Arabidopsis thaliana: one gene and its partner. The protein of the gene in region 1 interacts with the protein of each later gene in a pairwise test. Each region holds a gene or a part of one and is shown on either strand. Other genes may lie near its edges.

Evidence for each region.
Region 2: the proteins of AT1G28710 (region 1) and AT1G14670 interact in a protein complementation assay, tested with the Arabidopsis thaliana proteins (one large-scale study listed by BioGRID).

What each region holds. Positions count from the first base shown.
Region 1 is NC_003070.9:10,085,709-10,091,538, reverse strand, and holds AT1G28710 (Nucleotide-diphospho-sugar transferase family protein), read left to right. Parts: upstream 1-1,766; 5' UTR 1,767-1,861; intron 1,862-2,003; 5' UTR 2,004-2,251; intron 2,252-2,560; exon of another isoform or gene 2,561-2,762; 5' UTR 2,763-2,822; intron 2,823-3,072; exon of another isoform or gene 3,073-3,471; 5' UTR 3,472-3,513; coding exon 3,514-3,645; intron 3,646-3,718; coding exon 3,719-4,108; intron 4,109-4,188; coding exon 4,189-4,689; 3' UTR 4,690-5,173; downstream 5,174-5,830.
Region 2 is NC_003070.9:5,035,633-5,041,255, forward strand, and holds AT1G14670 (Endomembrane protein 70 protein family), read left to right. Parts: upstream 1-1,943; 5' UTR 1,944-2,036; coding exon 2,037-2,188; intron 2,189-2,467; coding exon 2,468-2,508; intron 2,509-2,616; coding exon 2,617-3,202; intron 3,203-3,278; coding exon 3,279-3,416; intron 3,417-3,526; coding exon 3,527-3,683; intron 3,684-3,778; coding exon 3,779-4,263; intron 4,264-4,347; coding exon 4,348-4,567; 3' UTR 4,568-4,965; downstream 4,966-5,623. Other genes in the region: NHX8 (Na+/H+ exchanger 8), read right to left, coding at 1-42, 128-205, 281-372, 441-491, 588-807; AT1G14680 (early endosome antigen), read left to right, coding at 5,229-5,623.

The DNA of each region.
Region 1 (5,830 bases):
GGGTATCCAGCAGCTTACAAAGCATGAAGGCCTCTCCATATGAAGTCCATTAGGTAATATATTTGTATAATGTGACAGCGGTATGCTTGTATTTCCATTGCATTTGGTCTAATGGTAAAAGTGAAAGTATTTTTACTAGTTCTTGCTAAAATAAGAGGGTAATATGGTCCATTGGTCCTCATCTGGTCTAGTGTTAAATCTCTAGGAATTTCCTGATTTTCTGATCACTTTTTAGCTGGAACTCAGACCATCTATTAGAAAAATGTCAATGGTGCATGTTCTGAGAATCAAACACGGGACCACTAGCACCCAAAGCGAGAATCATACCAAATGCCCTGTACGTTGTTCGATTAACGCCTCCTATTAGCATTTTCTCTTTTCTTATAGAAATTTGTTGCTCCGTTTGCTATTCTGGTTGAATCTTAATTGAAATTCTTTTTCTATATCCGCATCTCATTCTTGGTGAATCTGGCTGATAGTCCTTCATGTATGAAGGTTACTGGTTACAAAGATTTAATGATTGTACAGTGAAGAGTGGTATGTTCTTCTTTTCGTCTGCATTAAGCTCCTTATATTTTATCTTGCTGAAATGAAAGGGTATTCTATAGTTCTTACTTTGGTTTAGTACTAAATAAAGATCTGATTTTAAGCCACGTTCTTCTTTAACTGAGATCATCTACTATAGAAAAAAGTCAATGGGGGCATTCCGAGAATCGAACTCGGGACCTCTCGCACCCAAAGCGAGAATCATACCACTAGACCAAATGCCCTGTTGTTGATTTAGTTACATTGAAGCATTGAAGCATTTTATTGTTTGATCTTGTGGATAAGAGAATTCACACTTTACTCTATTTTTAGGGAAATCTACTTTTGGTTGTTCTATTCTTGATGAAGCTAGCAACATGCAATAAGTTCAAAATTTTCTATATTTATATTGGAATCTGACGTTAGAATGCTGAATGTTCTCTTGTTTGAAAAATCTGACGTTTTAGATCTAGTTCTATCAGTTGACTTTCAGGGCTTAATAGTAAAGGTGGACACTGTACTTTAATAGATGAAATGTTAGCTGGTTAAAACATTTGTTTTACAAAAAGTCAAAGGGGCATTCCGAGAATCGAACTCGGGACCTCTCGCACCCAAAGCGAGAATCATACCACTAGACCAAATGCCCTGTTTGTATATCTTGTTATGTTAACGCATTCTACTTGCATTCTGTTTTTTCCGTGACGAGAATTTATGCTTTCCTTTGCTTTTCATTAGATGATTATTAAATATTTCCGTGCTGTTTCTGCGGCTCAATCTTTGGCAGCATACACAGCGTGTTTGTCTTTTCTGTATGAATTGTACTGGTTAAAAAGACATACATTATTGGACGTGAAACTGCATTATGTTCTTTTTCTTTGCATTATGCACTTGATCATAGAACTTTAAGGAGCTTTTTTGTTTTTGCTTTTCACTTGCTAAATTGGAAGAAAAATATATGGTCTGCAGTTGGTTTATATGTGAAAGAATAGGACTGGTTTTCTAGGGAAGCTAGCATTGAGAACAGATGATTTACGAAAAGTCATTGGGGTTTTCCGAGAATTGAGCTCCGGGCCTCTCGCACCCTAAGCAAGAATCATACCACTAGACCAAATGCCCTTCTTTTTTGTATTATGTTTTTTAGTTAGTACTTTCTATTAGCATTCTTGCTTTTCTTTCAGAGATTTGTTGCTTCGTTTGCATTTTCCGTAGATACATAATCAAAATTCTTTTCTGTTGATGCAGATCATTCGTTGTTATCTGGATGCTAACAAAACATGAAGGTCTTCCCTATGTGAAGATTACTGATTAATATCTATTGATTGGATGTGATAGATTGGTATGTTCTTCTTTTCCTTTGCATTATAGGTCATCTAACATTTCGAGAATCGAACTGGGTCATCGACTTAAAAAATTTGATTATGTTAAAATCTGTATTCAAATATATAAGTTAAAGATTGGTATGTTCTGTTTGAATATAGGTCATGTACTTAAAAAAAGAAGTCAAAGGGGCATTCCGAGAATCGAACTCGGGACCTCTTGCACCCAAAGCGAGAATCATACCACTAGACCAAATGCTGTATTTGAATGCCCCCACTGAAGCATTGTGTTGTTGTGTAATCCTGTGGAAAAGAGAATTCATGCTTCACTCCGTTATTACAGGAAATTAAGTCATGGGGGTTTGTTTACCTTTTGAGGGTTCTATTCGTGATGAAGCTGGCAACATGCAGTAAGTTCAAACTCTTTAACTTATATAGAATGCTTTTTTGTTTAGATAAAGAAATTATGTTTAAGATTTAGTTCTATTAGTTGATGGATTTAGTTCTTTCAGGGCTTAATATATTTAGAACTTATGTATTTAAAACTATATATTTAGTTCTTTCAGGGCTTAATATATTCAGAACTTATATATTTGAAACTATATATTTAGTTCTTTCAGGGCTTGATATATTTAGAACTTATATATTTAAAATTATATATTTTGTTCTTTCAGGGTTCTAACTTATATATTTAGAACTTATATATTTAGTTCTTTCAGGGCTTAATGGATTGTCTGTAATTGAAAATTGATGAATTGACCCTAGTCATTCCTATAATTGAACTCGGGACCTCCCGCACCCTAAGCAAGAATCATACCACTAGACCAAAAGCCCTGTTGTTTATGCAATCTGGTTCAAATATTTTTGTGGTCTTCTAGTTTGTTTTTTGAAAAAGAGGCTGAATTACGAAATGTTTACTAGTTGAAGCTAAGCTGCAGAAGGGAGGTGTACGTCATCGCCTCATCGGGCATGTAAGCAAAGGTATGTAAAAGTTCTGGAAAAATGTGATTTGATCATAGAGCTATACCAAATTCTTGGTTATTGACTATTTTTGTTAAGATCATAGAGGATCCCCAATAGAAGTGCCATTGACAATTTATTTCTTGTTGCCTAACTGATATAAATATGAATTTACTTCCGTCTCTCTATAGGTTTGGCTTTACCAGCCGAAATTTATGTCTAGTACTATTAGTTGACTTTCATGGCTTTATGGTGAATGTGATTTGTCTGTAAATTTTAATATTTGTTGAAACATAACACAAAACCACAAAACCTTGAATTGCTGAATGTTTATCTATAAAAGATCTAAGAGGCAAATATATGGGAATATATGGAAAATTTTGTTACCTGTTATTCTGAGATAAATAAGTAAATATTGAAAAAATCTTTTATAAGATTCTCTTTGGGAAAATAGAATATCGCATGATAATAATCGGGAGACATTAAAGTAGAAATACAAATACGTAGACACAAAAACCCTAGAACAAAAGATGATGCTTCGTGTGTAACGTATTAGAGAAGGAACCTTAAAAACGTCAGTGATATTCACATTAAATTGGGATGACTTGAGTTTGGTGTTACATCCAAATCCGGTTATATATAGGTTAAATTGTTGTGTGCGAATCAACAGAGAGAGAGAAAAGGGCACATAAAATAGGTGAGTCTCCTAAACATGCCTTCCTTCAACTCCTCCGGCAATCTCGCGGTGGCCGTTGCTCTTCTCTTTGCGGGCGCCTTATATTTCTATTTCTCATCAATTACGGTTTCTGATCCTATGTCCGATCTACTACACAATGTCGAAACTGTAAGTTACTTTATAATAGAATCGGAATTTGAGAGTAAATATAGGAAGATTTTAAATGTTTTGTGTTAAATAGAGATGGACAGAGTATCCTGTGGACGAGCTAGAGGCGGTCCTAGACAAGGCAGCAATGGGAAACAACAAAACGGTGATTATAGCAATGGTGAACAAAGCTTACGTGGAGGAGGTTGAAGGAGGGAGGACAATGCTGGATCTGTTTTTGGAGAGTTTTTGGGAAGGAGAGGGTACTCGGCCGCTTCTTGACCATCTGATGCTAGTGGCAGCGGATCAGACTTCCTACGATCGTTGCCTCTTCAGGAGGCTCCACTGCTACAAGATGGATACCGATGGGGTTGACTTGGAGGGAGAGAAGGTATATATGTCAAAAGATTTCATTGAGATGATGTGGCGGAGGACTCACTTGCTCCTAGACGTCCTCAGCCGCGGCTACAATCTTACTTTCACGGTTAGGTCCGTCCCTTGGTTTTGGAATGTATAACAAAACACCTAATTTGTTTCTCTATAAGTAGTGTATGTATATGTCAGGACACGGACGTGATGTGGCTAAGGAGCCCTTTTCCCCGACTAAGCTACAACGAGAGCTTGGATATGCAGATAAGCGTGGACAGTATTGGCCTGGTTGGAGGACACTTGATCAACACGGGATTCTACCACGTCAGGTCCAACAACAAGACCATCTCCCTCTTCCAGAAATGGTACGACATGAGGCTCAAGTCGACGGGCATGAAGGAACAAGATGTCCTTAAGAGTCTCCTAGACTCTGGTTTCTTTAACCAGCTTGGCCTCAACGTTGGCTTCCTCAACACTACCGAATTCAGTGGCTTCTGCCAAGACAGCCATGACATGGGCGTTGTCACCACCGTCCATGCCAACTGTTGCCGCCACATCCTTGCTAAGATCTCTGATCTAACTCTTGTTCTTCGTGACTGGAAACGCTACAAAGCCTCCCATGTCAACAGCAATTGGAGCCCCCATGTTGAGTGCGGGCGTTCATGGAGTGACACTCACTATATCCCCAAGCTCTGACCTTCTTCGTTCATATATGCCAATTAATGAGATTGCTATAGTATACACAACTTCATCATCTATTAACTGCATATGTTCTTCAGATTAATCCTAGCTAGCTAGAGGAACAATTCTCTTTTGACAAGTAATTACAAAACATCATATATGTGTGTTACAACCAGATTGTTTTTCGCTCTTCGTTACAGCTACCCAAATAATTGCTGATAATTCTACTACCTAGCTAGCTACTTGATAAAAAGAACACATAGAAGACAGAGTTTCAAATCCAATGCACAAGTTGGTGGATAAAAACCAAATGAATGATCGAGACCTCGTGCACCAAAAGCAAGAAATATCATACCATTAGACCAAATGCTATGTTGCTGATGTAAAACTTAAATACTTGATTTCTCTTCTGTTTTGAGGAAATCAATTGATGTAGCATACAAAACTGTTTTCTGTACAGCCAAAGTGAGTCATCGGATGTGAAAGAAAGGTAATTTGTGGATCCACTTTTTTTGTTTTGAAACTTCAGGCACTTGATTTCTGAAAGTCTGGATGGGGATACAATAAAAAAACAACAATACTCTCATATATTACATGTGAAAATGTTTGATGCAATCCGGTGATGAATAGTTTAGTCAACCTTTGATGAACAGTATCATCAGGCGGTTATGAACATTGTCTTTGAGAATGACATTTTGTGTAATTGAAAAAACGAGAATGATATTTATGGCTTTAATTTTTTTCCTATTTTCTTCTTACATAATTTTCGAATTATCATTGGTATGTAAATCTAATTTTAAGTCTTTTGGGTATATAAATTAACTAAAACAACAATTTCATTTTATTTTGTTACAGGAAAAAGAATTGAAAAGCAGTGATTTTCTCATATATTAGGATTTGATCTGCAGTAGCCGCATGATAATAATTTTGTGCATATACATAAAGTCTTTGACATTTATTTTAAAATTGTGCATATTTTACATATTGAAGTTTGTATTTAAAAATACTTAGTTTTATAATCAAGAAATCAGTAATATCGCTGATAAATATGACTAATTGGATTAAATTTGATATAGTCTATATATTTGAAGTGTGTAATTTGTGAATATGAATTTTAAGTAACATCATAATAACTACTGCTCTATATAACATTGTG
Region 2 (5,623 bases), 5.1 Mb from region 1:
CAACAATGATGTTTTCCAGTCCCAGTTATATGGAAAAGTAAGCTACAAGAGCATAACTCGAAAAAATTGTTAAGTTAATTGAAGCTCACTTAATCACAGTCGAAAATGTTGAAGCTAGTTAAAGTACCTTTATAAGAGCTCCGAGACAAAAGGTGGAAATCAGAACTCCAGGTCCAGCAAGCAGAACCATTTGTCCCATACATCTCTACCAATGATGTAAAACAATCAATACCAGGAACCAACACAGCCAAGGAAGTAGCTCAATCAGGAAAGTAAAAACCTTGATCTGGTGCACATCCATGGAGAATGAGCTCTCGAAAAGAAGAACAGGGAGAAAAACAGCCAAAAGTAGGTCAGGGTTGATACCATTCCCTGTAAAGTTGCCATTTTTTAGAGCTCGTAATCTAACAGTATGGAGAAGAGAAAATACAGTAGCTTACAGATACGAATTCCATGGCCGAGCTTCCCAAGGTTATGCTTAGTTCCATATTCTACAGAAGCAAAAAAATCCAAAATTTAACTACTTTCTAAAATCTTCCACGAAATTGAAACTGAGCTATAAAGCTTAATGAGCAAACAAATAAGACCTAGGGATCCGAGAAAAATGCCGATGACGAGAAGAACGACGGTGTACGGAACTCTAGTGCCGTTAAACAAATATCTACAAGCGGTGCCGAGAACCAGCGAAGTTCCCGCGAAAATAACAGCATCAACAGGACTCGAATCGTTCTCAGCTGAATACGAAGAAGATGCAATTGCTTTCTCCGGTGATTTGTACGGCAACGCCGCGCCGATTATACTCGTCATCTCCGGTAGAAAGAAGCAAACGATCAATCTTTCGTTTTGCCAGTGATTACGGTCAAAGATGCTTTTACCGAACCGAATCTGCTTCGTTTAAGAGTGAACCAAGATTGAATCTAGTCTGGTTTGGCTTGACCTGTTTTATTTCGGTTACGTCTGGTTTTCTATCACTAATTTGAACGAAAATTTGAGAAATCTTAATACGTTTTTGATTAGGTTTCTGTTTTCTTTGCTAGATATGAATGTAGTTACTGGATTATACTACTCTGTTCAAATGAAGGGTACATATATTTACATGAACCAAATTATGAAATAACAAAACCGACTCACTCTAGTCTCTAAACTTAACTAGTGTCACTTTTGTTTGTTTGTTTTGATCCATACTTCAATGTATCTTGTTCAAATTGTTTGATTTTATTTTTGGTATAAGTGGCTACATTGTAATTTCTTGCTGATTCAATCTATAAATCGAAAACCTTAAATTATCCATGCCTCAAAACGATGCACGTTGTGTATAAATGAGAATTTTAAATTGTTTAGTTTCTATAATTGCTGTCATGACGTGAGATCATGCAAAGCAATTACGTACGATAACGCACGTAAAGGAAAAATGATTATCAGATTCATATATTTTTTTTTTCAAAAACTTGGTCTCGTGTAACATCATTCGTCATTCTTCATATTCACTATACTATAACCACAAAAGATATTAAAAAAATAGTCACTCCACTCCACATCTAATACAAAGAAGTAATAATTTAACTATTCAAAATTTATGAAGTGTTAATACGATAAGATTTTCGACCCAAGGAAAAAAAACACTATAAGATACATAGGTTTGGCAGAACAATTAGTTCGCTCACTGCCTACATATTCTTTTTTTGGTTTAATTAGCCTACATATGGGAAAATGATTTGTATTTTGTTAAATGCCACTCACATTTGTTATAAATAATTAGTCTTGGTTTCAAAAGCCATATATTTATGAATTTATAGACATTGATATTTATTTTTATGGTTGGAAATGGTATAAAGTATTATTGACTATAGTTTTTTTATGTATTTTTCTTATGAAATAAAGTGAGAAAATAATAAAAATATTAAAATTTGTGTAGCTGACTCGAGTTTGATTGAAGTCTTTGGTATATAAATATTGTCGTTATTTCCTCCATTTTTCTCCCTCTTCTCCCAAATAAAAAAAGTTACTCAGATCTCACGATTTGAGCAGAATACGCAATGAGGACACCGACGACGATTCTCCTTCTTGTCGGAGCTATCCTCTTCTCCGGCGCCGGCTATGTCAGATCCGACGCCTCCGACCACCGTTACAAGGAAGGAGACACCGTTCCTCTCTACGCCAACAAGGTCGGCCCATTTCACAATCCAAGGTAAACGGAAACATCTATTCTAGATCTGAGCTTCAGATCTGAGGTTGTTTCCCATTCTTAAGCCTGAGGATGATAAATTGATCGTTTATTGTTGAATCTGTTGCTATTGAATTGAGTAACGACATTGATAACTGAGTACACTGCAAAATGCGTAATGTTAAAACCAAAGAGTGAAAGAAGAAACTACATTTGGAATGTTTTTCGTTTATGTGATGGATCTGTCTTAGATTTGAATACTATTATATGACTGATTTTGGTTTTGTTCAATGATGATTGCAGTGAGACGTATCGATATTTTGATCTTCCCTTCTGTATCCCAGGTATGCTTATATCTTTACTAGCTTAATCACACGATTTGTGTTTAAGCCGCAACTGATTTGTGTGACATCTCCTGATTCGATCATCCCATTATTGAATATGGTTTATAGAGGGTGTGAAAGAGAAGAAGGAAGCTCTTGGCGAGGTTCTAAACGGGGATCGGCTAGTTAGCGCTCCATACAAGCTCAACTTCAGAGATGAAAAAGAGTCTGAGGTATACTGCAACAAGAAGTTGAGTAAAGAAGAGGTCAAACAGTTCAGAAAAGCTGTTGAGAAGGACTACTACTTCCAGATGTACTATGATGATCTACCTATCTGGGGATTCATTGGAAAGGTTGACAAGGATATCAAATCTGATCCGAGTGAATTCAAATATTTCTTGTACAAGCACATTCAGTTTGAGATTCTATACAATAAGGACCGTGTGATCGAGATCAGTGCTAGAATGGATCCTCATTCGCTTGTGGATCTCACTGAGGATAAGGAAGTTGATGCAGAGTTTATGTACACTGTGAAGTGGAAGGAAACTGAGACTCCTTTTGAGAAAAGAATGGAGAAGTACTCTATGTCTTCTTCTCTTCCACATCATTTGGAAATCCACTGGTTCTCCATTATTAACTCCTGTGTCACTGTCCTTCTTTTGACTGGATTCCTTGCAACTATCTTGATGCGAGTCCTCAAGAACGATTTCATGAAGTAAGTTTCAAGTTTCCTCACTGTCGACTGTTTTACACTTGTCTATCTCATCTAACCTTATTCCAATGCTTAAAAGGTATGCTCAAGATGAGGAAGCTGCTGATGATCAAGAGGAAACTGGATGGAAGTACATTCATGGCGATGTGTTTCGGTTCCCTACTCACAATTCTTTATTTGCTGCATCGCTCGGTAGTGGCACTCAATTGTTCACGCTGTAAGTCTCTCATAACTCGAATACTTTCCATCTGGATACACTTTCATCCATATCCGCATTTCTTCTTACTGTAACTAACTGTAGCTTTTCCTTTTATTCCATGTCATCAGCACCATATTTATTTTCATGCTTGCTCTTGTTGGAGTGTTCTACCCATACAACCGAGGAGCACTCTTTACCGCTTTGGTGGTCATTTACGCTCTCACTTCTGGAATTGCCGGATACACATCTGCCTCTTTCTACTGTCAACTTGAAGGAAAAAGCTGGGTAAATATTTACACATGATGAGAATCATCCCTGTCTCTCAAAAAATCATCTTCAACTGAAATAAACAACTTCTCCCTTTTTTGACATTATTGCAGGTGAGGAACTTGTTACTCACTGGATGTCTCTTCTGTGGCCCATTATTCCTAACCTTTTGCTTCCTTAACACCGTAGCCATCACCTACACTGCAACCGCTGCATTACCCTTTGGAACCATTGTGGTGATCGTCCTTATATGGACTCTAGTTACCTCACCTTTACTCGTTTTGGGTGGTATCGCGGGTAAAAACAGCAAAGCAGAGTTCCAAGCACCATGCCGTACAACCAAATATCCTCGTGAGATTCCACCACTCCCTTGGTACAGAAGTGCTATTCCTCAGATGGCCATGGCTGGTTTTCTTCCTTTCAGTGCCATCTACATCGAGCTTTACTACATTTTCGCTAGTGTCTGGGGTCACCGGATCTACACCATCTACAGCATCTTATTCATCGTTTTCATCATTCTCATCATCGTCACTGCTTTTATAACCGTTGCCTTGACTTACTTCCAACTCGCTGCTGAAGATCACCAATGGTGGTGGAGGTTCGTTAAACTCAGCTAATCGTCTCTATTCTTTTCTCTCTGACCATGAGAACTTGAGTCTGATTCTACAAATTTCTATTGCAGATCATTCCTATGTGGTGGATCGACCGGTTTGTTTATCTACGCATACTGCTTATACTATTACTACGCACGATCAGACATGTCGGGTTTTATGCAAACCTCGTTTTTCTTCGGATACATGGCTTGCATTTGCTACGGATTCTTCTTAATGCTCGGAACAGTTGGCTTCCGCGCAGCCCTCCTCTTTGTCCGTCACATTTACCGGTCGATCAAATGCGAGTAAGAAGGTCTGTACACCAATCTTCTTATGTTGATTTCCTTCTTCTTCTTCTGCCTTCTTACGAATTTTGCTTAGAACAAAGAAGATAAAGAGATAGGTTGTTAGAAAGAAGAGAGACACAAAGACAATGTCTGATTATTTTCTAAAGAAGCATCTCTTCTCATTAGAGGTTTTAGCGAGAGTCTCTCTTCTTCTCTCTTTATTTTGGGCTACAGAAATTAAATTACTTGTATCCTTTCTATATATTTTACCTATTGTAAAAGACTATCAATACCTTTGAATTCGAGTTTCTTTGTATCTAATAAATTTCAAAACACACATATTTTCTCCTTCATATATATCTTCAGTCTATACTGCACAATAAAAATAATAATTTGAAGATGTAACTAAATAAATATTGGAGAGCTAAATTGAAGTAAATTGCATATTTTTGTACTTGTTTGGATCCAATTGAAAGATCCAAGGTTGATACCACCGACATACAAGGACATAGTGTTAGCTCTTTAATGGGCCAAAATCTCGGCCCAACTATAAATGGTTTCATTGACCAATAATTAGTGCCACTGATTTCAATTTTGAAATTCGAATCCTCCTCCTTTGGAATTCAGAAACCCTAGAGTTCTTCAGCGAGCGAACTCTGTCTGCGATTTCTTGTTGATTCTAAATGGATCTCTCGCGAGAAGTCGATGACTTTATCAAAGAGACAATCGATCACTCTTTAGGGCTTCCGATATCCATGGACGTTCTCCAGAAAAAGCTCTACACGGCGGAAGAATCTCAGCGTCGTCTCCGTGAACAGTATCTATCTCTGGTTTCGAGATTGAAAGAGAAAGAAAAAGTAATCGATCTCGTTAGATCCGAAGCGAGTATGAATGCCCAGTCGCTGAAGAAATTCGTCGAAGAGAATCAGAAATTGGGAAGCGAGCGCGAGGATTTGGTGAATCAGTGTAAGAAGTGGGAAAAAGAATGCTTTCTTTATCATCAAGATCGTGAATCACTCATGGAGTTCGGGAACGAAACTGACGAAAGGGCTAGAGAAGCAGAATCTAGGGTTCGTGA